Arabidopsis thaliana: one gene and its partners. The protein of the gene in region 1 interacts with the protein of each later gene in a pairwise test. Each region holds a gene or a part of one and is shown on either strand. Other genes may lie near its edges.

Region 1 (5,448 bases):
TGACTAGTGTATCTGTTGCATTGTTTCTAATATTGGAATGAAGAGGAATTCTGTGCTTAAGCAGTGAGGTTGCTATATTCATAATGTTTAAGCTTTCGTGTTTGATCTTACTCTATTCGTTCCATTGATAAGAGATCCTTTTATGTCTTAAACCTGAGAAAGTCGTGAAGGTTCATTGTAGCTGCTGTTTATGCTTGTTGAATATCTGTGGATGTTATCTATACTTAGCAAATTTCTTCAGATTTTGATCAGTGCTGGCAGGTGAAACTTTCTGGTGGGAGTTTATGCATCGTGTGATATGTCTCTAGGTTATTCAGTTTTGTTGTTTTCTTTTCTCGACAGAAAGTTTGCGTTGGTCAGTTCGAAGGCGAATCTTAAAAATTTGTTCATACCATCATGATCTTTATTTATTGATCATGAGTTTCTAGTATTATTGAGATATTAGATGTGATCTCCATGAAAGGGGATATGATAGGTAAGCTTTTTTGCATTGTTACTTGCACAAAACATATCATTCTATTAGGGCCGTGACTTTCACTTACTATTTAAACTATCGAGCTAAAGGATAGCGAAAAAATGAACATGCTTCATTAATATACCAAAAAAAGCGAACAACTCGGTTGTACACTGACTCACTTTATTGCTGCATAATAAAAGACTGCACTCTCACTACCTATGTCTCTTTTCCAAAACGCTACACTAAATCCAAAACCATTTGTGTACTTCTGAATCTTGATCTACCTTAAATTGCTTTTACTCAATCTAAGCTTCCGTAGTAGTCCCAGATGGAAGGGAAGGATACATCATCCTCAAAATCATAGCTTCCGAAGTTGCTGGAGTCAAATTGCATAGTTGTGGTTTCACTTCTTGGCATCTCGATCAGGGTATCCCAGCTGAAATTCTCAGTTCTGAAAGGACTTCCAGTTTCTTCTTGCTCGTTCCATGGTGGAGGGGAATGACACTCTGCTACCTCACTTGGTTCTGCTTCATTTTCATCCTTCAAGATTCCTAGTTGCTGAAGAAACTCGGTCAGGTCGATCTCTGGTTTCTTCTGATCACCACCTTCGAACATATTGTCTGTTTCTCCCTTGCTGGTCTTCTCATCAAGAAAGCTAGTATTAGTTTTTGATTCGGTGGAGGAAGAACTAGAAGAATAGGATTGAGATAAAAGTCCAGTTTTCTTGAGTTCTTCTAGTCTTTGCTGGATTATGTGAACACTAGGCTGAGCATTCACGTTTAGCATACCACATGAAGGAAACATAGATATAAACTTCCTTGAAGGTACCCATTTGAACCTCTGAGAGTTACTCAGAGAAGGTCTTGTATTCCGCTGAAGATGAGGTAAGTTGAGGTATGCGTCGTGCCCATAGAGTTTCAAGGCAGCCTCATCATAAGCCATAGCTGCTTCTTCAGCTGTAGCGAAAGAGCCAAGCCAAAGTCTTGCCCTCTTCTTGGGCTCTCTGATCTCAGCCACCCATTTGCCCCAAGTCCTTTGCCTGACTCCACGGTACTGACAAAGAGCGTTTTGTGGACCGCCTTTACCCCGAGCAGGACCCTTCTTCCATTGTTTCATTGAGGATGATTTCTCCATTTGTGTTGTAGTGGAGAAGAAGATTGATAGTGAAGAAGGAAGAAGAGGATATGATAATGGAGCTTAGAAAGAGTATGTGAGTGCTTAAATAATGTCACGGTTCGCTTCAATTCCTAGAGAATTGCTTTTTTCACCCGCGCATGTGACCGTTGCTTTTCTCATATTCTGTTATTTTCAAAAGAAAAAAAAAAAAAAAAACTTTTAACCATTTTTGATCTCAACTTCATATTTATATAATTCTTCTACCTAGGCTCAAACTAGAATAATATAATCCCTAGTTCTTGGTGTCCCCTGCATTCCAAACAGTCGCAATGCCAACCTTATTAGTTATTACACCTTTTTGATGATAGCTTAAGAAGTTAGAACAATTGCACACACACATTTTTTTTTTTTTTGGATTATTATGTTCAAAAATTTCTGTTAATCATCAGGAACTCAAATGTTTTTTTTTTTGTTTTTCTTTGTTATGACTAGCTCTAATATTTTACTTGTACATGTTACCAAGATATCTAGCGAGACAAGGTTTTTTGGGTTCCTAGAATTATTTTTCTTGAGGACACTTTAAAGCTTTAAAGCTTTTACGATATCTCATCTTTATCTTTTTGTTGTTTCCTTCTTTCGTCGGAGAATCGGAGAGCCATGCATGAGAAAAAGAGAGGCAAGAGTCACGAGTCGTCGCAGCACACAAGAATCACATGTTCGATCGTGAGAGTGAAGTGACGTGTTTTCTTCATTCTCGAGATTTTCAGATTTAAGCGCCGCTCCCTTCACCATTATCCCATGCTTCTTCCTTCCTCTCTTACCATCACATTTAACTCACCACATTGTTCCCTAATCCCATTTATTTTAATAGTATATGACTTGTACATAATTCTACACAAATCCCAAAAAATAAAGAAAAAGTAATAACTGAACCCATTTTCTTCTGTTTCACTAAAGCAAAAACACAAACTGATTATATTTCTATTTCGTTTTTATTGATTGTTTAATCCAAAAAAAGGAGTGCTAAGCCTAATAAATTTATCTCTGTATTGACACATTTGTCACCAGATACTAAGCTTTTGCTTTAGCCATTAAACAATTGTTCTTCATCCTAAATCAAAAAGCAAGCTCTACCTCTACTGTCTTTTTTTTTTGTTGCTAATAGTAGCTAGAGATTCCATAACCAGTTACCAAAACATATTTGGTCTTTACATTTTACATGATATTTAGAATCCCTGTGAAAACTAATCCTTCATTCGCTACCACATATCTAACATACCGATTGGCACGTGAGAGAACAAACCAAAAGTCCCAATTATCGCAATGAATAAATGGGCTTAGCTCATTCACAACTATGCTAAAGCCCAAAGGCCCATACAATCCCAATCTTGTTGCGTCGTATTAAACCTTCTCCTTCTCCGACGAAACAATCACACACTCCGGCGGCAATAAACGCTTCTTCATGGAACCAATCCCAAATGATCTCATTCTCGAGATCTTCTCGAGATTGCCGGCGAAGTCAGTCATTGGATTTCGTACCTTGTCGAAGCACTGGGCGTCTATGCTTCGCAGTCCAGTTTTCACCGAGCTCTTCCTGACCAGATCCTCGAATCGTCCACGTCTGCTGTTTGCTGCCGAACGAAATGGTGAGTGGCTCTTCTTCTCGTCGCCGCAGCCACAGAATCGATATGAGAAGTCTTCTCATTTGGATTATCATACAAAATTCTCAGGAGACGTAAGCCGATTCATTTGTAGCTATGTCTCAGGTTTGCTCTGTTTCCCTGATTTGTGGCTCTCAAAAGATGCATCGCCTGTGATTTGTAACCCTACCACAGGAATGTATGAGAGCTTACCTGATCTGATGAGGTACAAAAATGCTCGAGGCTTTCTAGGGTTTGATCCCATTGGTAAGCAATTCAAGGTATTGTCTGAGGCTTATCCATTTTCTGATCAAAGGGAACATCATGAGATTCTGACATTAGGAACTGAGGAACTGAGCTGGAGGAGTAATATCATTAGTTGTCCTGCATATGATCGTTCTTTGAGTGAAGGAATATGTATCAATGGAGTTTTGTATTACTTAGCTCAGACTCTTGGTGTACCGTCTTGTGTGATCATTTGCTTTGATGTAAGGTCTGAGGAATTTAAGTATTTTGACGCAGGATGCTTTAATGATCAACTTGATGATACTAGTGGGTTGATTTTGGTAAACTATGAGGGTAAATTAAGTGGGATTAATTGGAAGTATGGTCAAGCTGGTGAAAGGCGCACCGTTGAGTTGCGTATGTGGGTTCTAGAGGATGCCGAGAAGCATGAATGGGTTAAATATGTGTACACTCTGCCGGAGAATGAAGTCCTTGATTCCTGCGACTTTTCAGTTGCTGGAGTGACTACTAGAGGTGATATTGTTTTGTGTATGAAATATACATGTAAACCGTTTTATGTGTTCTACTTCAATCCCGAGAGGAACACTCTCCAGAGCGTTGAAATCCAAGATTTTGGAGCTAACCTTGAAGCGGTTGAGAATTGTGGTAGAGTTTATGCTTTTGTTAACCATGTAGAGGATCTTCGGGTTAACAAAGGGAAGCAACTCAAGTCAAGCATCTCTCAAGTCAAGCATCTCTGCTCATGCTGTAACAAAGTATCGCAGCCTGATTATCATTACCAAAAGGCTTAAACCAAAGGGAGAGAAGAAATGAAAGAGACAGTAGGGAAGAAAAGAGACAAGGGATGAGGTAAAAAGCAGTAGGGCATGTCATATATGTGTTTATGTTCTTTAGTTATAGACGTTGGAAGATCTGTGAGTATGAATCAAATCTAGCTTTGGTAGTGTATTACAAATATTTTGAAGTGAATCGTATTGTAGCATTGTTGACCTTTTTTTGGTTAATCAATTTTTCCTATAGTTTAATGATATCTTCTACCCGAAATTAAAGTGCAATTTCTACTGTCTATTAAATTTCTGTACTCTGGTATCATTATTTTGTATTTTAAAAAGTAGCTGGAGATTCTATACCCAAACTTATTTGGTCTTTGCATTTCACATAATTTTATAGAATCTCTACGAAAAGTTAGGCCAATACCATCGTTTGCTTGCTAGCACACATACGGACTTCATTGGCACATGAGAGAACAAACCATAAATTACGACAATGAATAAATGAGCTCATTCACAATTACGCTAAAGCCCAAAGGCCCATCAAATTCACTGTCTATTTCTTTCGTTTTTTTTTTTTTTTTTCCCTAAAAGTTATCTTTCATTCATTCATGTCATTGTGTTCTTACAAAAAGTGTTTGAGTGGTCTAACCACTTACAAACCTTTGATTCAAACATAACAAGATGATCTTAGAAGTAAAACGAGAAACATGAAATAATAAACCTGAAACTTAACAAAGTTAAGGATATGTCAGAACCAAAAAAACATATCCAACTACTTGAAGCTGCTATCCTAGATTCCCTGTAGTCTTCAACAAAAATTGACAGAAGTCTTGTTAGAGTGGTTATCTCTTTTTGGGAGGTTTCAGACTCTCTCCCATTCTTGAAGCACTGTGTAGACGAGTTTGAAGTCTAGGATCCTCTGCTTCTCTTCTTACTTCCTGTCTTCTTGAGGATTGACCGACTTCAAAGACTCTGTTGTTATCATGATTAGGAGTGTCTGCTCTTGTTGGAGTGGTACTAGAACTCGATGACCATTGTTGTCTTGCAGTACTAGATTCTCCAACATGTAATGTATGAGTATCTCTAACTGATGCATAGTATGGATACGCAGCTCTCAATTCTTCAGGATTCAGTGGTGGATGAGCAATTCTAGGAGGCGGTGTCACAGGAGCAGGAAATGAAGTCTCCGTCATCTGCGATTGAGAGTTCAAGCTTG
Region 2 (6,950 bases), on another chromosome or scaffold:
CTTGAAGGTGGGTACCATGTTCTTGATGAATCAACTCACTACAGCAGCGACCTAAGGCCAACCGCAAAACAGCTATGGAAACCGAGTATCGGACTGCTTGAAGTAGGGATCATAAGTGCACACGGGCTGATGCCAATGAAGTCAAAAGACGGGAAGGGGACAACAGATGCATATTGCGTGGCTAAGTATGGGCAGAAATGGATTAGAACAAGAACAATCGTGGATAGTTTTACGCCTAAATGGAATGAGCAGTACACATGGGAAGTGTTTGACACCTGCACTGTCATAACTTTTGGAGCATTCGACAACGGACACATTCCAGGCGGAAGCGGAAAAGACTTGAGAATCGGGAAAGTGAGAATCCGGCTCTCTACCCTTGAAGCTGACCGTATCTACACTCATTCATATCCGCTACTCGTCTTTCATCCTTCTGGGATCAAGAAGACAGGTGAAATACAGTTAGCTGTGCGGTTCACTTGCCTATCTCTCATCAACATGCTTCATATGTATTCTCAGCCATTACTACCCAAAATGCATTACATCCATCCGTTATCGGTTCTCCAGCTGGACAGCCTGAGACACCAGGCGATGAACATTGTCTCGGCAAGGCTGAACCGCGCAGAGCCGCCTCTTCGCAAAGAGATTGTGGAGTACATGCTCGATGTTGACTCCCATATGTGGAGCATGAGGAGGAGTAAAGCTAACTTCTTCAGAATCATGAATGTTCTGAGTGGTCTCATTGCTGTTGGAAAATGGTTTGATCAGATCTGCAACTGGAGAAACCCAATAACCACAATTCTCATTCATGTTCTTTTCATTATCTTAGTTCTTTACCCGGAATTAATCCTCCCAACGGTTTTCTTGTACCTTTTCTTGATTGGGATCTGGAATTTCCGGTGGAGACCAAGGCACCCGCCACACATGGACACACGGTTGTCCCATGCAGACGCTGTTCACCCCGACGAGCTTGATGAAGAGTTTGATACTTTCCCGACTTCCCGATCCTCTGAGATTGTGCGGATGCGATATGACCGGCTCAGAAGCATAGGAGGACGGGTTCAGACCGTGATAGGCGATCTAGCAACACAGGGAGAGCGGTTTTTATCGCTGCTGAGCTGGAGAGACCCGAGGGCAACCACATTGTTTGTGCTTTTCTGTCTCATAGCTGCTATCGTGTTGTATGTTACGCCGTTTCAGGTTGTTGCACTTCTTGCTGGGATCTATGTGCTGAGGCATCCAAGGTTCAGGCACAAGCTACCCTCTGTGCCGCTCAATCTCTTCAGGAGGCTACCTGCAAGATCTGACAGTCTATTATAGATAAATTTATCTGCATCAGCTTTTGTAAAACGTTTGTTGGATTTAAAAAAACTTTGGGTTTAATGCTTAATTCGGTCTTTTCAATGGAATTTTAGTTATATTGATTGCAACATCATAAGACGGTCAAGAAATCCAAATACATATATCCATCAAACTCAAAATCTTTGGTTGGGTTTCTGTTTCTCATCTGTAATTCTGTTTCCAACTAACTTTTTTTGTCCAATGAATAACAGTTTCTGCCCAGACTATAAGGGTTCGATTTAATTCACAAACATATGAGCCAACCCTTGAGGTGCTCTCCCGCCAACGTTAACGTTGTGGAGCAGTTGCTGCAGCCATTGCATTGCAGGTGGGTCATCCTGCCAAATTAAGTGAGACGATTAGCTAAAAACAGTCAAGTCTCAAGTATCAAAAGAATTGAGTCGTGATAACAATAAACTGATAGATAACAATTTGGTATCAGAATCACTAATAATTGGTTATGATGCTATCAAGAGATATGACACTTACATAGAGACAACCACTGAAAGTAGCATCCCTCAGAAGATCTGGAAGGCAACTTCCAAGTGCATCGCATGCTCTGAATGTCATCAGTAACTGTATTGTGTAAGCACGAGTGTATAATATGGTTTTCAAATGAAGGAAAATGGATAATTATTGCACCTGGGGTTATCTGTCAAGCGAAGATAGCAGCGTATGATGTGCTTTAGTAGCCTAGCGGACGGTCCTTCTGCAAGTGAAGTAACCATATTTCCCAAAACCCGACCCAGAGCAAAGAATCTCTCCGCTGTCGTGCACATGTACTCAAGCCCAACATCGTCCAGCAAAACTTTCTGAACAATGAAAGTAGCAACCTGACATAACCGTTCAAATAAATCAATCAGATGAACTGTACATGACCAAAACCAATCAGAAACATCAATTGCAGAAGAAAACTTATACAAGTTCTTTGTATGAAGCAAAGATTTCAGATATTTGCAACTGGCTGTATAAATGATAGGAAACTTGATATACATTTTTCAAGCATGTGAATCTAAAGAGAAGCATCTGAAGATAGACAAACTTACAGTCTTTGATAACTCGCTGCCATTCTCCATTGTCCGGAGGCACAATGGGACAATCTCAGTTTGAAGAAGGAATCTGATCACTTCAGTATCATCAACCTACCAAACCAAATGAACGATGTTGCAAGACCAATATCACTAATGATGTCTTAACAGGATCTACTCAAAGGTCTTAGCATGCTAAAATCGTTGTTTCTCAAATCACCAAAATATTTATTTACAGCCAAACAGTTGTTAGCATGTAAAAGAAGTGTTCCTGCCTTTTTGGCATAAACATACTAAATAACTAGACGAGGAAACAAAACTCAAATATCAATACATACCTTAACAAGTGCACCAATAACCCCCAAGCTAGTCAGCCGCAGGTACTCAAACGGTCTTGATTTGCTTGATGTATTCAAGAAAGCATACAGGTACAATGGCAGATGGGCTGTATTTTGAAAAGCAACAGACTTTAAACTTTAAGCATATTATAGCCAAACACACATCTAATAAATGAGATCAATCAGAAAGAGACCAACAAGGTGGCTCTTAAAACTAGTTTTGGTAGACGGGTTGGGTATTCAACTAATGCAATCTATCTCTATAACTTTAGTCACAGAGCAAACACCGAAATTATTTGAATGAGAACTAAGGAAGAATTGTTCGGGCACAGGACTGTACCTTTTAGGAACAACATTCTCGTATCAGTATGAGAAGCAACACACTGGATGTACGAAAAAAGAGTCGAATCAATAAAAAATAGAGTCTTCCAAATTGAACATACATATATAAACGTTTGTAAGTCTCCCTAAAAAAGAAAGAGGAAACTGACAATATTTTATGCACCTGAAGAAGAGCAAGTGCATTGCACACCCTGTTAGATTGAGCAGGAGTCATGGTTGGAGGAGATAGGGCAGGGTAAACTGCGATAATCTCCTGAAAAGAGGAAAGAAAGAAAATGACTAGATCTTAACCAATACAATGTACATCAAATCTCAAAAGTTAAAATGCTAAAACTATAACAGTATATAGAGAAGCCAGAAATCAATAAATAAATTCCCCTGAAGAATAAAGGAACAAGTGCCATATAATAACATGGAGGAGAGGGTACCTGTAGAAGAGCAGGAATGGTACCAACAGAATGCCATAAAAGCGGAGCCAAATCTTGAAAGATCTCTCTCTTCTGAAATAATGAAACACGGGATTAGACATGAATTTCAGTGAGAAGAACTTCTTAATGTATGAAATCAAAAGCAATGAGTACAGTAAACATCAAAACCATTTGATTTTTTAATTGTCCAGACGTTTAACTTCAGTGAAGAATCCTCATACCAACTTAAATTGCTCACCAATCGAGATCAACGCCTTAATCAGTGTTGAACTATTTCGATTATTTAATTTCATCCCCTATTCATGCAGGTTTACAATCTCAACAATAATCGTACAAATTCCCTCAAAATTTGCGGCAAGGAAGAATTAGGAGTCGGTAATCTAAAAGCATGTCTACGATTCACCGGACTAAACAACCAAATACATTCGAAATTCCATTCAATAGAACGCAGAAAACGAAAACCCAAACGATCAAAAATTCGCGAGTAAGAGAATTCGGTGAGAGAGAGATGACCTTAGACAACTCGTGAAGTGCATTTTCTCTGAGTTCGGGATTGCTGAGATCGAGAATTAACTGCTCCGCCGATGATAGCTTCCGATCGTTGTTGGAGGAAGAAGAAGGAGAAGAAGCTCCTGAGAGGGCGACAGATTTCATGGAGAGCGGAGGAGGAAGATTAGCCATTAGAGCCCCGTCACCGTTTACACGCGCCGCAGAGAGAATCGCTACTTGTGACAGTGAAAGGAGGAGATGTATTTATAGGACCTAAGGGGGGCGTGTATGTCACGTGCCTCGCTTGCTCCGTTACGGGATTTGTTCAAATCTAAATCTCACGTGACTTGTGAAAAAAAAAAAAAAACTCTCACGTGACTCTCCCGTGCCTCACACAACTTAAGATTCTGAAAGATAGATTATAAGATTTACATGATTCACATTATGACTTAGCTAATGTAGAAGACAATAAAAAAACATAGGTATTTTGATATCAACAAGCCAAAAAAACACACACTATATCTACTTTGTTTGTGGCGCCAAAATAAACTGATTTAATATCTTTATTTATTGCGGTACAATAAATAGTTTAACCGTATATCCTTTTATTTTTGTTTAACATGAATTTGTCGTGTCACTCGGTGTAACATGCAAGGGGAATATGTGGCTCCAAAACTCAACAAGTAGTGGTCGATTGGCTACCGAAACTAATTAAGGTCAATGCAATAATTTTATTGACAAACAATCTAGCATCAACAAATCTATATACAGTCACAAAATTAGAACTAGATACACCATATTGTCCTTATAAAGAAAATATATCTTACCGTTTTAAAACTAAAATCAGACAAAATTCTAGTACAAAACCTTAGACAACCAATCTACCACTTCACATCCAAAAGATCGGTTTTCCCAAGTTTCTTCTAGAAACAAATGTCACAGAATAATTAATTGTGATTTGATACCAACTTAAAACACTCTAAACCCAAAATTTATATATACAATTGATGTCACGAATGCTTCCGACTTCATCTTGAGAACTAACTCATCACAAAAATTGAATTGGAAGTTGTTACGCTTTGGCATCTTTCCAAAGCATCCACAAAATCTTGGCTGAAGTAATTGAAATACTCTATAGTAAATAACGAAGTTAATCATTTTCAACCTGAAATAGAAATTTAACATTCGGATAAACAAAACTCAAAACTAGAATGTGAAAAGCATTACAAACTAATATGTCAACAATGGGAAACAGAAGATACAGAAAAAAGATATAAGGAATGAATCTATGGAGTAAAAGGAATGTGTTTATGATGAAGAGGGTCGGATCCAGTTGGAACTTGTCTTTCTTCAACTTCATTAGCTGTTCCTCCATCAATCTTCTTCTCCTGTTTTCAGTACCAAAACAAAAAATTAATCATCTTTGCATCAAAATCATATAGAAAAATACAAACGAATATCAAATGCAAAGAGCTAGCTAGAAAACAAAAAGTTTCATACTTTTTATTGTAAAAATAAGAAACGAATTGTTCATTTCCTTCAAAACAGTCGCGTTGTGTTTCTAGGAAGAGATTTTCTTACCTTTTTCATGGCTTTCGTATCTTGTGTTTCTCCTAACCAAAAGAAGGCTAGAAACAAAAAGAACAAAGAGGATTGATTCATCATGTTTTGAACCCAAACGATGAATAAAGATGAGAATATTATTAAACATATCACATGACACTTACATTTTGTAGAAGAAGAGTGAGCAAGTAGTGAGGACGAAAGAAGAAGGATGACTAATATGATAAAAACGCTTCCTTTGTATTTCATCGCCGCCATTTCAAAAACCTCTTTGTGGTAAGAGTCTCGACAAGAGTGACGAGAGGTGTGTCGTCGTCTAATAAGGTGAAAGTTCCGGGTTTTAACCTCGTTTTACAGCTTTGTTGGGGCCAAATCCGTCATTTTGGTTGTTCTTTTTGGGATGAGATTTAAGCTGTACGGACACAGATTACCGTTTACAGGCTGGCTCGAACCAAGACAAATTATCATTCTCGTACAAATGTCGTGGTGCCACGTATCGCCGCCACGTCTCCGCTTATTTGTCGAACCAAACATTGTCACAACTTCCCGCCATTTTTTAAGTTGTCTTTCAACGAAGCAGAGGAAACTAGGGCTAATCCTTCTTAGAAGATCGTGGGCTTTCCTTATCGGCCCATTAATGAACCCAGTTGGTAACTAGGGAATTTTTGAAAGCTTTGTTGTCGCTGTATCTTATAGGCCAAGCAAAAGTTGTTAGTAAGTTCCTTATCTTCCTCGACATGGACCAATGGAGGTCTTCAACTAAATAATTAAACAGTCATTAAATGATAGATAACGTCTAATTTATAGATGAATACTACAATGTTTTTACCTAAGCGATATATTGAAAACTAAATTACATTAACCCTAATCATCCATGAAGATAAAAAAGGGATAAATTAAGATCCCTTCCCTGTCATTACAATGAAGAGATGAATCATTCCTTGTTTCGAGAAGAGCGATCCTTACGATGACCTCCAAGGATACGAGAGATCTGAAGACCTCTACTGAAAGCTTGATTAAAGAGCATACGCGTTTGGAACTCTGACACAAATGGAAACCATGCCAAGAACGCCACTGGCGTGAACAGCAACAGTCCCATTACTATCTCGTATCCACGAGCTAGGGTCCTCACTGATCCCCAGAATCCTGCTCTATGAACCACCGGCTTACACGCTTGCGCAATCTGCAAACACACACCAAGTGTTAGTCTTGTTTTTATCCACACACGCACAACATTTCCATTTTAATAGGACTCCAGTGAAAAGCTTTTTTTTTTACTTACCAAGAGCATCCCCCAACCTGTGGGCATAAAGGCAAGGATACACACAATTATGTCTTGTATCGTCATGTGAGCCAGTGTGATCAATATCACAATAATTGCGATAAACGTCATGAATATCAGCCCCTTTATCAACCGGAACATC
Region 3 (5,495 bases), on another chromosome or scaffold:
TGAAATTGAATTTGTGTGTTTTGTTATTAGTAAAGCAACAAACTTTACTCATTGGATTTTAATCTCTGTTGTTATTTGTTGCAGGCTTGAAAGTTTGAAGAGTTTTGTAGCCTGAAAAATGGCGTCAGTGGGTATAGCTCCTAATCCTGGAGCAAGAGACTCTACTGGTGTTGATAAATTGCCTGAAGAAATGAATGACATGAAAATTCGTGACGATAAAGTATGTTTCCATGCGTTGTAGTATAGTTTTTGGTATGTATTTCATGAGAATCTAAATAATGGATTGTGGTTTGTTAGGAAATGGAAGCGACAGTGGTAGATGGAAATGGAACAGAGACTGGACATATCATTGTGACTACTATTGGTGGTAGAAATGGCCAACCAAAACAGGTTTTTGATTCTTCTTCTTTGCAAAAAACTGTTCTTTTAATCTTCTTAAGTTAGTTGATTGGTTAGTGTTTCGTGTTTTTATTAATTTTTCTACAATGTCAATGCAGACAATTAGCTACATGGCTGAGCGTGTTGTTGGTCACGGATCTTTTGGTGTTGTGTTCCAAGTGAGTTTTTGTTAGCTTATCATCTCTCACGTTTTACATCATGTATCTATCAATTGACTGAATTGGATTCCTCTGTATTTTCTTATGTGATTTAGGCGAAATGTCTTGAGACAGGAGAAACTGTTGCGATAAAGAAAGTTTTACAAGATAGGAGGTACAAGAACCGTGAGCTTCAAACCATGAGGCTACTTGACCATCCTAATGTTGTGTCTCTGAAACATTGTTTCTTCTCAACCACTGAAAAAGATGAGCTTTACCTCAATCTTGTTCTTGAGTACGTTCCAGAAACTGTTCATCGTGTTATCAAACACTACAACAAACTGAATCAGAGAATGCCTCTTATATACGTCAAACTTTACACTTATCAGGTATCAATTATTACATTTCTGTTAGATTTAGAGTTATGTTTTGGATCTCTTATCGGATTTCTCTATGTTTGGCAGATTTTTAGAGCCTTATCTTACATTCACCGATGCATTGGTGTGTGTCATCGTGACATAAAACCTCAAAACTTGTTGGTATGTACAAGTTAAATAAACAGGAGCTCACAGTATACCCGGGAATATACTTTTCTTCATTGTCTAATGCTACTTTTTTCACCTGTAATGGAACAGGTAAATCCGCACACTCATCAAGTAAAGCTATGTGATTTTGGAAGTGCAAAAGTATTGGTGAGTTTGATAAACCTCTTCCGGGTACTTTGTTTCTTGGAAAAAGTTAGATTCAATCTTGTTGATCATTGTAATATCTGAAAACAGGTAAAAGGAGAACCAAACATTTCCTACATCTGCTCGAGGTATTACAGAGCACCTGAACTTATTTTTGGAGCAACCGAGTATACGACAGCCATTGATGTCTGGTCTGCAGGATGTGTTCTAGCTGAACTATTGCTTGGACAGGTAATGCATTAAATCTTATTCAAACATTTTTGTTCTACTTAACCTGGAATTTTGTGATTGACAAACTCTATTCTCTGCTCATGACAGCCCTTGTTCCCTGGTGAGAGCGGTGTTGATCAACTTGTAGAGATTATCAAGGTATAAGCTTTGCACTTGTTCACTTTGATAACAAGTTCTTGTTTTCAATAATACTGAGAGAAGATTTGATGTAATGTTTTTTGTTATGCTTTGGGGTAGGTCTTGGGAACGCCTACTAGAGAAGAAATCAAGTGCATGAACCCAAACTACACGGAATTCAAATTCCCTCAGATTAAAGCTCATCCATGGCACAAGGTAGAAATAAACTTATATTCATCAAATCAACTTGTCAATGTGTTATTCAGTAGCAGTTACAGTCAATGTGACAATATCTACTCGTCATAATATATTCACAGATTTTCCACAAACGCATGCCTCCAGAAGCTGTTGATTTGGTCTCAAGACTTCTTCAATACTCTCCTAATCTACGAAGTGCCGCTGTGAGTATTACTTACAAATTCAACATTCTTCTGTGAATCTTCTCGATGGTCCTTTCATTTCCTATTTTTCTTTTGTCTGACTTGCTTTTACTTGAATCGTAAACCTGATCACAGCTCGACACATTAGTCCACCCATTCTTTGATGAGTTAAGAGACCCAAACGCACGTCTACCTAATGGACGTTTCCTTCCACCGCTTTTCAACTTCAAGCCTCACGGTACAACATCTCCCTTTCCTAATGGTGTTTATCTCCAACTTACCTGTAAAATCATCAAAGTTTTACCTTACTAAAGCTATACCTGTAATTGTTGTGAAACAGAGCTGAAAGGTGTACCATTGGAGATGGTAGCTAAGTTAGTACCTGAGCATGCAAGGAAGCAGTGTCCTTGGCTCGGTTTGTGATTTCCTCTTAATGTAGCATGAACACAACAAACACTTCTTATAAATTACCTCTCTATGTATCAATATGTCACAAACTGATATGCACCCTTTGTTTGTTGTATGAGTAGAGAAAAAAAGAGTTATTACTATGGTTGGTTGGTTCATAATGTAAAAGCCCACCAAGATTTTTTATCTAGATAAAGAGTTTGCTACTTCTGCTTTTGTATCTTCTTCTTCCTCTGCAACATCATCAAACAAAGACCCTAAAAGTCACTGTAGCAAATACAAGTATCCTCACGCGCCTAAAACTAATAAAAGCCAAAACTTTTTGATTCTACGAGTCGTCGTCGTCATCGCCGGAAGATGCCGTCGGGGAAATATTACTGTGATTATTGCGAGAAAGAGTTTCAAGACACTCAAGTCGCTAGAAAACGCCATCTTCAAAGCAAACCTCATCTTCGAGCTAAAGCCCTTTGGTACAGTTCTTCTTCCTCAGGTATCTCTCTTCTCTCTTTTTTCTCTCTGTTTCTTAAAGGAACGATTTTTAACATCTCTGTTTCTTTTAATACGAAATTCTTAGATCTTGTTAATCCACAAGTCTCCAATTTTGCGACGAAAGGTCTCTGCAATCGATTCATTACCTCGGTACGTCGGATTGATTTTGTTTCGCTATGTTCATCATTCCTAGCAATCTCTGGATGTGTAAAGTCTTGTCCTTTTCGTTTATATTCTGGTGGAATCACACATTTTACATTGCTTTGTTTGATTCTGCAAAAAAATTCATTGCATATGTGTGTATGTATGTAATCTTCCAAGTAAAGTCTGTTCCTTTCTTAATGGGTTTTGCAGAATTTTTGCCCATTTGGAGATTCTTGCAGATACTTCCATCCTAACAACAATACAGGAAGCACAGGTTAGGTCAAAACCTGTTGATTTTTGACTTCAGTGATTTGGTCTCTTTTAGGCTACTTAAAGCTTTAAAGAAGTCTCTACTATGCGCAAGATTTGCTTAAAACATCATCCTCTTGTTGAATTCAAATGCAGGATTCACAAATAATACACAACTTCGTGTTGACATGCTTAACCAACAACACATCCAAGGAAGTACTTTAAACCGTATGCGTTCTTGTTTTTTCGTCATTCAAGTTCTCTAATATTTAAGCATTTATAGAAAATCTGATGTTGGAAGTTTGAATTGTCTAAAACAGGTGATTTTGTTAGTGGGAGACCAGGAACAGGTTGGTTTGATCTTCCGCCATCGCTAAAACCGCCTCCTGAGCAAGGCTATCCTCAGCTTCCCTTCATAGACTGGGGATAGATATAAATTCTCTGAATAATGCTCAGTTTCAACATTGATGATTCTACTTGAAAGGAAAAGACTAATCTTTGTCTCGTTGTGCTCTGCCATTACCAAGCTTTTAGCCACAAGCTTGTCTCTTTTCAGACTCGAGGTTGGAAGAATGTCAACCAAATTGTCGTCTTGTTACTCAATTTGTCGTCAACTTTAGAGACATTGTTCGGAGTTTGGACATGGCAAATTTGCAATTTAACATACTGTGCGATATTCTGATAAAATTCTTTAAATTTCGTTGGCTCGTCCCTATTCATTGCGTGATGATAGGATATCGCTAATTCGCTATCCGCTTCCTGGCCATGTGCTAAACAAGACTTCCCAAGCCAAACTATCAAAATATTTGACAAAGTTGGAGCAATTCCTAAGGCTGTAGATTAATTACAAAGTTGGAACAATTTTTTCCCTAGAAAATACATTATTGAGAAACAGAGTATAAGTTGGCTAAAAGAAAAATCAGATTGTTCAGAATCAAATATTTAAATTATTAACTTCATTTTCATTTCTTCAACTCCATAAAATAGAACTAATTTTAAACTCTTTATTGTTGAGAGAAATATCTTCGAATCTCCTAAGAGTAATTTAGTCGAGCATGTTGGTTTGAGTTTATAAAAGATAGGTTATGATTTATTAGTTAATATTTCAAATTTATATATTGGTTTTTAGGTTTATAATGGAGGGTTTTAGTTTATTTTTTATTTTAATTATGAACAAAGTAAATAGTTTGAGTTTATAAAGAAGAGTTTGATTAGCGTATTATAATTACTTATATGTCGGTTTAGGTTTAAGATTTTATAATTAAAGATTATATTTCTGTTAGGGTTTTAGGGTTTCAGGGTTATAATTAAAGGTTATATCTTATATTTCAGTTAGGATTTTATAATTAAAGGGATAGTTAAGGTTTTAGATCTTGTAATTAAATGTTATATTTCTGTTTAGATTTATAAAAAAGATTAGGATTTAGATTTTACGATTAAACGAGATTATAAGTCAATTTGAGTTTATAAAAGAATGCTTAGGGTTTGGATTTTACAACTAAATTCAATTAAATGTGGTTAAATAATTGTTTACGTTTTTATAAAAGAGTGATTATGGATTAGATTCTATAATTAAAAGAATTTAATTCTTGGGAGATTTGCAAAACTACCCTTTTGCAACAATACCCTTATATGTGGTTCTTTTTTAAAAATACCTTTTCCCTTGAACAGAATGACCAAATTACCCTCATCTAATAGTAACATGTAATTGGAAACTGAAATTTTCCCGCCATATTTTTTTTTTCCCGCCAAAAAAAACAATACCGCCAAACTTTTTTCCCGCAAAAAAATAAATTCCCTCCAAAAAAAAATTTCTCGCGAAATTTGTTTTCCGTAATATTTTTTTTATCAGCCAAAAATTAAAAATCCTTGTAAATTTTTTTTGCGGGAAATAGATTTACAAGAGATTTTTAAAAGATTTTAAAAGATTTACAAGGGATTTTAAAAGGATTTAAAAAAATTTACAAAGGATTTTAAAAGATTTACAAAGGATTTTAAAAGGTTTTAAAAAGATTTACAACAGTTTTTAAAGGGTCTTCTTGTAAATTCTTTAAAAATCTTTTAAAAACATTTGTACATTTTTCAAAACCCTTTAAAAATCTCTTGTAAATATTTTAAAACTCTTTTAAAATCCCTTGTAACTCTTTTAAAACACTTTTTAACCCTTTAAAAAGCTTATGTAAATCTTTTAAAGCTCTTTAAAATCCATTGTATATATTTTAAAACCCTTTTAAAATTTCTTGTAAATCTCT
Region 4 (6,652 bases), on another chromosome or scaffold:
ATCGTACCATTTTTCATCTCTTATCATTTTTACCATATTCAACCATACCACCATTTTTATCACTATTTTGTACAGTTACAAAGCTCTTACCGTCTTGCGCTATTAATCGGACCATTAAACAACTTCACATAAAATTTTATATTAGACGTTTGAATTTAAGTCGAAGTTTTGATAATCTTAAATGTAACCCCTAAAATACAGTCGATAGTATTTGATGAAACAACTCCCTCATTAAAAATCGATTACTTTTATAAAATAGCTGTAAAATAAATGGCAACCCAAACGAAACAAAAAATATCTATCCCCCGAAACATATTACATATACTCCACATCTTTCATATATGTTTGTTTATCGGTATGTCTTTAATATTATCTCTTCTTACCCCAAAATTATACAACAATCTTTCAAATTACAGACCACTTTCATGGTCGTTGGAAAAAAATAATTCTTCCATAGTCGAGAATATGATTTGCAAAAATGTTATTAAATAATAATCATTCAAAGTATCTTAATAAAAAAACAAAAGAAAAGTGGAATTGGTCCATAACGGTTCGGGGAACTTTTCTATGAACCGGAAACTGAAATTCGTGAGGACGGTACACGTGTTAGGTAAGAACACGATCCGCTCGTGTGTAACAGCCAATGATGTCGTCATTCCACGTCGGTACAAGACTTTTTTTTTGTCGTCAACAGAAGATTTCAAAATTAACGAAACCGTTCCCATAACCGAAACTCACATAAAAACAAGACACAATAAATAAAAAACTTTAGGTACTTTTCTGTCGTTTCTTTGGTTTCTAACGTCTATTCGTGTTATATTTGTTTTATTCTTCATTTATTATTGTTGAATTTAATTCTAGTTCGAGTTCAGTTACATGATTTCTCTCTTTAATCTCTAGTATTTTAATCCATCAAAATTATGTGGTTGCATACTCGATCGAGTTTAGTACAATTACTAAAATATGTAGCTTTGTTTAGTCATATCAAGACTATAGTAAGTTGTTACGCATGAAAGATAATTATTACATTCAAACGAATGACCACTCAATTCTTATATCAAAAAGATACAAAAAACTAAAGTCTACAACTTATAGGTTCAATGGGAGCATAAATAGTCCATATCATTGAATAATAATGGTCTTCAATAGAGTTGGTTGTTCAATTATTATTTTTGGTTTATAAGAAATGAATTGAACTTTTGTTTGTCACCATTCACATTTTCTTCTCTTTTTTGTACTTTTAGTTTTCCTAAAAATTAAAAAAACTATGTTCCCTTCGTACCTAAAACTTACTTTAAAATAACCAATTTGATGATAGTTTTTTTTAAAAAACTTCAACAAAGATTATATATTTCATCCTGAAACAAAAATTACAGCAAAATTTAAATTTAAACTAGTAGCAAAAAATATAGGATGTGCATATGTTTTCTGTTTGCCACGTCTGTTTTCCATTAAATGTACGCACAACATTGTTTGAGTTCAATTAACTATTTAAGTAATAAACAAAAACAATGCTTGAATTTCACTGAATATAGTATATAAGTAAAAATGTATACACCCCAAACGACGTCGAACCCATCGTTCAAAAGATATTGAAGTACTTGAACTAGTTGTTGAGCTAATCATCATATTACTTTATAATTTAACTACACAAAACGAGTTCTTTGAAAGATGCGAATATATATATACACACTTATACGTTATGGAGAGAACAGAAAGCTCATAAAAGCAATTTATTTCTCTCCCTTTAAGATCTTTTCTTGCTTTGTGTCCGAAACAGACAAAAATTGATTCTGTTGTTTTTTCCCATAATTAACTCACACACACACACTTAACGTACGTGCAATATCTGTATGTGTGCATAGTATATACTATAGCCACACGAGCGGTTCAAAAATGTTTTTTGGAGTTTCCGAGACTGTTGAGACTGTGGGGCCTATGGTCATCGAACCCTCCCACACGCACGAGCGGGTCTCGTTTTGCATGCATCTACACTACACGTACCCACCGACTTTTCCAAATCCCTTACTTTTGCACGTGTAGAGAGAGAGAGCTTTGTACTGAAAGTATCTCATTATTCGAAATTTTTCGTGTAAGAGTAAAAACTAAATCGCAACGTACGTGAAGGAAAACGTGAACCTTGAATATTTAATGTTTTCGTGCGGTTTCATTTTAACTATTTAATTAACACAATATTAGTACAATAACAAGCAGCTCTTATGAAGATAGTGATGAAAAATTGTTATAGATCTATCTTGGAATTTTAATGATCGAATTTCGATTTTGTACGACCACCATCGAGGCATCGACTATAAATATAGTTAAAATGTGGTTGCTGAAAAAAAAAAAAAAATGATAAATAAAATGAAACCGCACGTAATTGTATAAAACCATTAGCATGGGATTATTAGGCCACAATTTGGTAATTAACACTTGTAATTCATTTGAATATGCTTTTACAAAACTTTCCCTTCAATTTCTTTTGGTGTGTGAATAAACAGCTATCAATTTTGTTTTTCATGTACATTAAATAACCACTCTGCACTCATCATCATTTTCTAAAATATTCTTCTATATATATTAACTAGCTTGCAAATAAATGTAAATAAAAATATAAATTTCAATAATTTTTTTTAGAGAATCTCTCTTTCCTCTTCCACCATATAAACAGTGAAAAGCCATTCAAGTGCTCTCTCCCTCTATCTCTCTTCTATTTTTAGTTTCTCTTCCCTTAATCCCTAAACCCAGAAACATGAATCCAAATCTCCTTGAGAAAGATCTAAGAGGTAAGGAAACTACAAATGGGTCAATAAGATACAAAGAAGCAAACAACTTCAGATCTCTACCAAACTCACACACTGCTGCTTGTAAAACTTCACTCAACAACCCCTCTATCTCTAGAAACCATCCTCACAACAAATCAGCCTCAGTCTTGGAGTCGGAAGATGAACATGGGAACGAGAGAGGTGAAAACGAAAAGAGTTTAAGAATGAGGGGCAAAAGTGGAATTAACACAAAAGTATGCTCACGAGGACACTGGAGACCAACAGAAGATGCTAAACTCAAGGAGCTTGTTGCCCAGTTTGGTCCCCAAAACTGGAACTTGATTTCTAACCACCTTCTTGGTAGATCAGGTACATTTATTTTACTTAAAATTCTTATTACTTAATTATTTCCTTCACTTTTGTTACTCCAAATTCCGCAAATTTAACTATTTTTATGTAGAAGAAAAATAAGTAAATATATTTAAAAACTTTGGTGAGTTGAGTTTCCAAAGTTATTAGGCATTTTCGTAATTGTGTTTGGATTTTTTTAAAAATAGTTTTTACAAGTTAGACTAAGTTGTATAAGGCATAATGACATAATGCTTGATAGTAACTAATTTTTATAATGTGAGGGACACTTCTTTGACTACAGGCAAGAGTTGTAGATTGAGATGGTTTAACCAACTAGACCCAAGGATTAACAAGAGAGCCTTCACGGAGGAAGAAGAGTTTAGGCTGTTAGCAGCTCATCGAGCCTATGGCAACAAGTGGGCTTTGATCTCTCGTCTCTTTCCAGGTCGTACCGATAACGCTGTCAAGAACCATTGGCACGTCATCATGGCTCGACGGACTAGAGAAAGCCAAAGACAACGTCAACAGCCTCCTCCGACGTTGTCAAGAGACGCTGAAATGACGGTTTCGTCCTCTTGCCGCTACAATCAAGGTAAGTTCATCAATGAAGAAGATGACGACGACGATGTGTCAGCTGTCTCTACTTGTACGACGGAGCTCTCTCTCACTCCGCCTTCTTCAGCTTACCAGCCTCGCTTCTTTAATTACGATAGTACCCTTGCATCAGGTAACATTTTATTTATTTGCTTAAATATTATGTTTACTATGTTTTTTTTTTTTCTCTATTGAAAATATATTATTTTCATGACCCAAGACATTAAAAGTATAGAAACTTGGAATGTTTTTTTTCGTTTTCGGCTTTCTTGAGAAGTGTTTTCGTGAATCTAACTATAATGATCTCGGTCGGTTGGTCGAGATCGTATTGCAATCTTTATTGGGTGTATCGTTGATCATGATCGGTTTATACTTTAACCGGTACTTCCAAATATCATTTGTGGTCTAAATTTAGCTTATTAGATTCCAGTCTTGTTAATTTTTGAATGTTCAAAGCATATAAAATGATAATTTAGGCCGACATGTTGTATAACCGACGACGAGTGACCACTTCCTACACTTTTTCATATACATGGCAATAATTATAAATTTGAATGACTAGAAAAGAAAGAAACTGTTTTTACATCGTAAGAGTACCTATAGGCATAATAATATAAGGAGGTGAAGTACTATTGTCACGTTACTATTTCAATATAACAAAATTTCACGTGGGTGCTGAGAACTTATTTTTCTAATTTTGCAGGCAAAGATGGTCAGTGTGTGCAGAGAGCAGAAGTAAATGGCATATATGGTAAAAAGATGGACCATCAAAATCACCACACAATCTCAGTCAGTGAAAGAAAGGTGGAGATGAAGATGAGGAGTGGCTATTACTACTTTGATTTTCTTGGAGTTGGAGCTTCCTGATTAATTAGTTGCAGAGCTAGGGTTCAATGCTGAGGAATTGTGAGATAAGAAATGGCTTTAGTTTCTTCTATTTTTCCTGGTTAATTAGGCATGTTTGTTTAACATCTTAATTTGGGTTTTGGAAGAAGTAAGCGGTATGAGGGAAAACTGAAAACAAAAACAAAACCTAGAAGTAAAATAAAAAGTTGAATATATAATCAACCTCTTTTCTGTAGAATTAGAATAAGTGTTCATAAAATATTGCAATTTTCCTTACTCACACACGCAAATTTAACATAGATTATGAAACAATAGCAGTAACTAAAACCAGCGAGTTATTTTTGTTGGTAAATTACAAGCTTTGATCATAAACCTATTGCATTTTATAGTGCATTACATGAAGGATGTTATCTGCTATTTTTGGAATGTCACATATATAAATAATTCAGGAATTTCTAAGTAAATAATCAACGTGGGAAATGAGTTCTTGTTTAAATTTAAAATCTCAATTACTCGGCTCGGCTCGGATCCCTATTATCGGATACCAGCTACATTGTTAAGTTGGGCCTAGGACTACAAAAGAAACCCATATATAGACGTACCTTTCATTTACAAAGGGTCCAAAAAGCTCACATAGAAGTGGGCTTACTCGTTTCTTGTCGTAATTTTGAACTTAACCCTACCCTTCTTTCTCTGTTCAAAAAAAAAAAAAAAAAAAACCCTACCCTTCTTTCATTATTATATCAAGTTCACAAAATTGACATCCCCAAGAAGAAAAAATGGTAACTAGCGATCTGTGTCGAGTACTGTATTTGTACTAGTGTACTTTACAAATTGCTATTCATATATAGAAATATACGCACTTTGTTAGTGATATGATTATGATTCGCATTTAAATCATTATATTTGATTTTTCTGTTTAAAAAAAAAATCATAATCATATTACTTACACACTTTACTTTTGGCTCTCTCATTCCGTCATTCATTTAGTTCTTTTTGTTCGTTTAATTGTTCACTTGGTTAGTTAAGAAATTAAAAATGTTCACTTGATAAGATATGTTAAATGTTATCCTCTAGGATAAACAGAAATAATAATCCTCGATCGAGAATGGTATAAAGTACCTTAATACCTTTCATCCATTGGATAAATAGATTAGATCAGCTATGTACTAAGATGATCTATTTACATCGAAAAATCAAGATTTTTGTACATACCAGTTTAATTTTTTGGATTATCTTTAAATATATCAAGTCCGAGGGACATCTTTTTTCCACAAACTAGATCTCTAATTAAGATTTGGCTGTGGAAAAAAAAAATATTAAGATTTGGCTTGTTTTGATAGATAAGGTTTGTGTTCAGGCGAGCAAGAATCGACAAGAAAGCAAAATATCTGACGAGTCCAACATTTATTTAATCTTTTTATTATTACTTATTTGTAATCTAATTATACACGATAGACACGAAATCAATAGAGGTAAAAAAGAAAACAATCGACCGTATATGTTCCCACATAAAACAGCCAGTTCATGTCTGTCTCGGTACCTGTCGATGACAAAAGGAAAACAAATAAAAACAGATTCTTAATTAGGGAATAATTAGAGCATTTTAATTCTTAAAACTGCTAGTTCACTAATTACTGATAATATTGAAAAATGAAAACCCTAACGAGAAATGGTTTAACATCATTTTATATATCCACCGTCTATTCTTTTTTCTTCTTTTTTTGAGCAAAGACACCGTCTATTCATTTGCCAAGAGAGAATATAAATTCCCAAGGTCTCTTCGACCAATGAACTCAATATTTTACAAAATTACTCAAAAGTGGAGTTATTGGTTCTTGTGTTTTTGGCTATATTCTTTATTTTTAAAAATAAATAATATATACTACATATTTATATTTATCAAAACTTGGACCAAATAAAAAAGGTCACATATATACATCCATATATATGAGCTGCATCAATCCGTAAAGCTTAGTTAAATCACAAAACTTCAGTTACAGATATTAATTTCTACAAAAACGATATTCATTTATTACATGCATAAACCGACAAACATCAAATTGATTTATATTTTATTATATTTTCTGCAGAAA

Evidence for each region.
Region 2: the proteins of AT3G57600 (region 1) and AT5G12980 interact in a two-hybrid assay, tested with the Arabidopsis thaliana proteins (one large-scale study listed by BioGRID).
Region 3: the proteins of AT3G57600 (region 1) and AT5G26749 interact in a two-hybrid assay, tested with the Arabidopsis thaliana proteins (one large-scale study listed by BioGRID).
Region 4: the proteins of AT3G57600 (region 1) and MYB56 interact in a two-hybrid assay, tested with the Arabidopsis thaliana proteins (one large-scale study listed by BioGRID).

Annotation. Positions count from the first base shown.
Region 1 is NC_003074.8:21,328,984-21,334,431, reverse strand, and holds AT3G57600 (Integrase-type DNA-binding superfamily protein), read right to left. Parts: upstream 1,659-5,448; 5' UTR 1,592-1,658; coding exon 758-1,591; 3' UTR 514-757; downstream 1-513. Other genes in the region: AT3G57590 (F-box and associated interaction domains-containing protein), read left to right, coding at 3,036-4,250; AT3G57587 (Ta11-like non-LTR retrotransposon), read right to left, coding at 5,075-5,448. UniProt on the Arabidopsis thaliana protein: Transcriptional activator that binds specifically to the DNA sequence 5'-[AG]CCGAC-3'. Binding to the C-repeat/DRE element mediates high salinity-inducible transcription.
Region 2 is NC_003076.8:4,103,985-4,110,934, forward strand, and holds AT5G12980 (Cell differentiation, Rcd1-like protein), read right to left. Parts: upstream 4,249-6,950; 5' UTR 4,156-4,248; coding exon 3,988-4,155; intron 3,547-3,987; coding exon 3,475-3,546; intron 3,300-3,474; coding exon 3,210-3,299; intron 3,088-3,209; coding exon 3,045-3,087; intron 2,812-3,044; coding exon 2,705-2,811; intron 2,481-2,704; coding exon 2,385-2,480; intron 2,172-2,384; coding exon 1,981-2,171; intron 1,898-1,980; coding exon 1,828-1,897; intron 1,677-1,827; coding exon 1,578-1,676; 3' UTR 1,399-1,577; downstream 1-1,398. Other genes in the region: AT5G12970 (Calcium-dependent lipid-binding (CaLB domain) plant phosphoribosyltransferase family protein), read left to right, coding at 1-1,317; CLE40 (CLAVATA3/ESR-RELATED 40), read right to left, coding at 5,250-5,351, 5,545-5,591, 5,691-5,784; GSL12 (glucan synthase-like 12), read right to left, coding at 6,461-6,709, 6,809-6,950.
Region 3 is NC_003076.8:9,396,463-9,401,957, reverse strand, and holds AT5G26749 (C2H2 and C2HC zinc fingers superfamily protein), read left to right. Parts: upstream 1-2,690; 5' UTR 2,691-2,718; coding exon 2,719-2,851; intron 2,852-2,935; coding exon 2,936-3,057; intron 3,058-3,204; coding exon 3,205-3,268; intron 3,269-3,399; coding exon 3,400-3,471; intron 3,472-3,563; coding exon 3,564-3,673; 3' UTR 3,674-3,943; downstream 3,944-5,495. Other genes in the region: SK 11 (shaggy-related kinase 11), read left to right, coding at 119-220, 298-390, 498-557, 653-925, 1,001-1,075, 1,172-1,228, 1,316-1,456, 1,544-1,594 and 4 more.
Region 4 is NC_003076.8:5,874,495-5,881,146, forward strand, and holds MYB56 (myb domain protein 56), read left to right. Parts: upstream 1-2,618; 5' UTR 2,619-2,752; coding exon 2,753-3,134; intron 3,135-3,417; coding exon 3,418-3,843; intron 3,844-4,413; coding exon 4,414-4,577; 3' UTR 4,578-4,837; downstream 4,838-6,652. Other genes in the region: WOX12 (WUSCHEL related homeobox 12), read right to left, coding at 6,082-6,099. UniProt on the Arabidopsis thaliana protein: Acts as a cell-specific local repressor of quiescent center (QC) self-renewal by cell divisions in the primary root. Counteracts brassinosteroid (BR)-mediated cell division in the QC cells.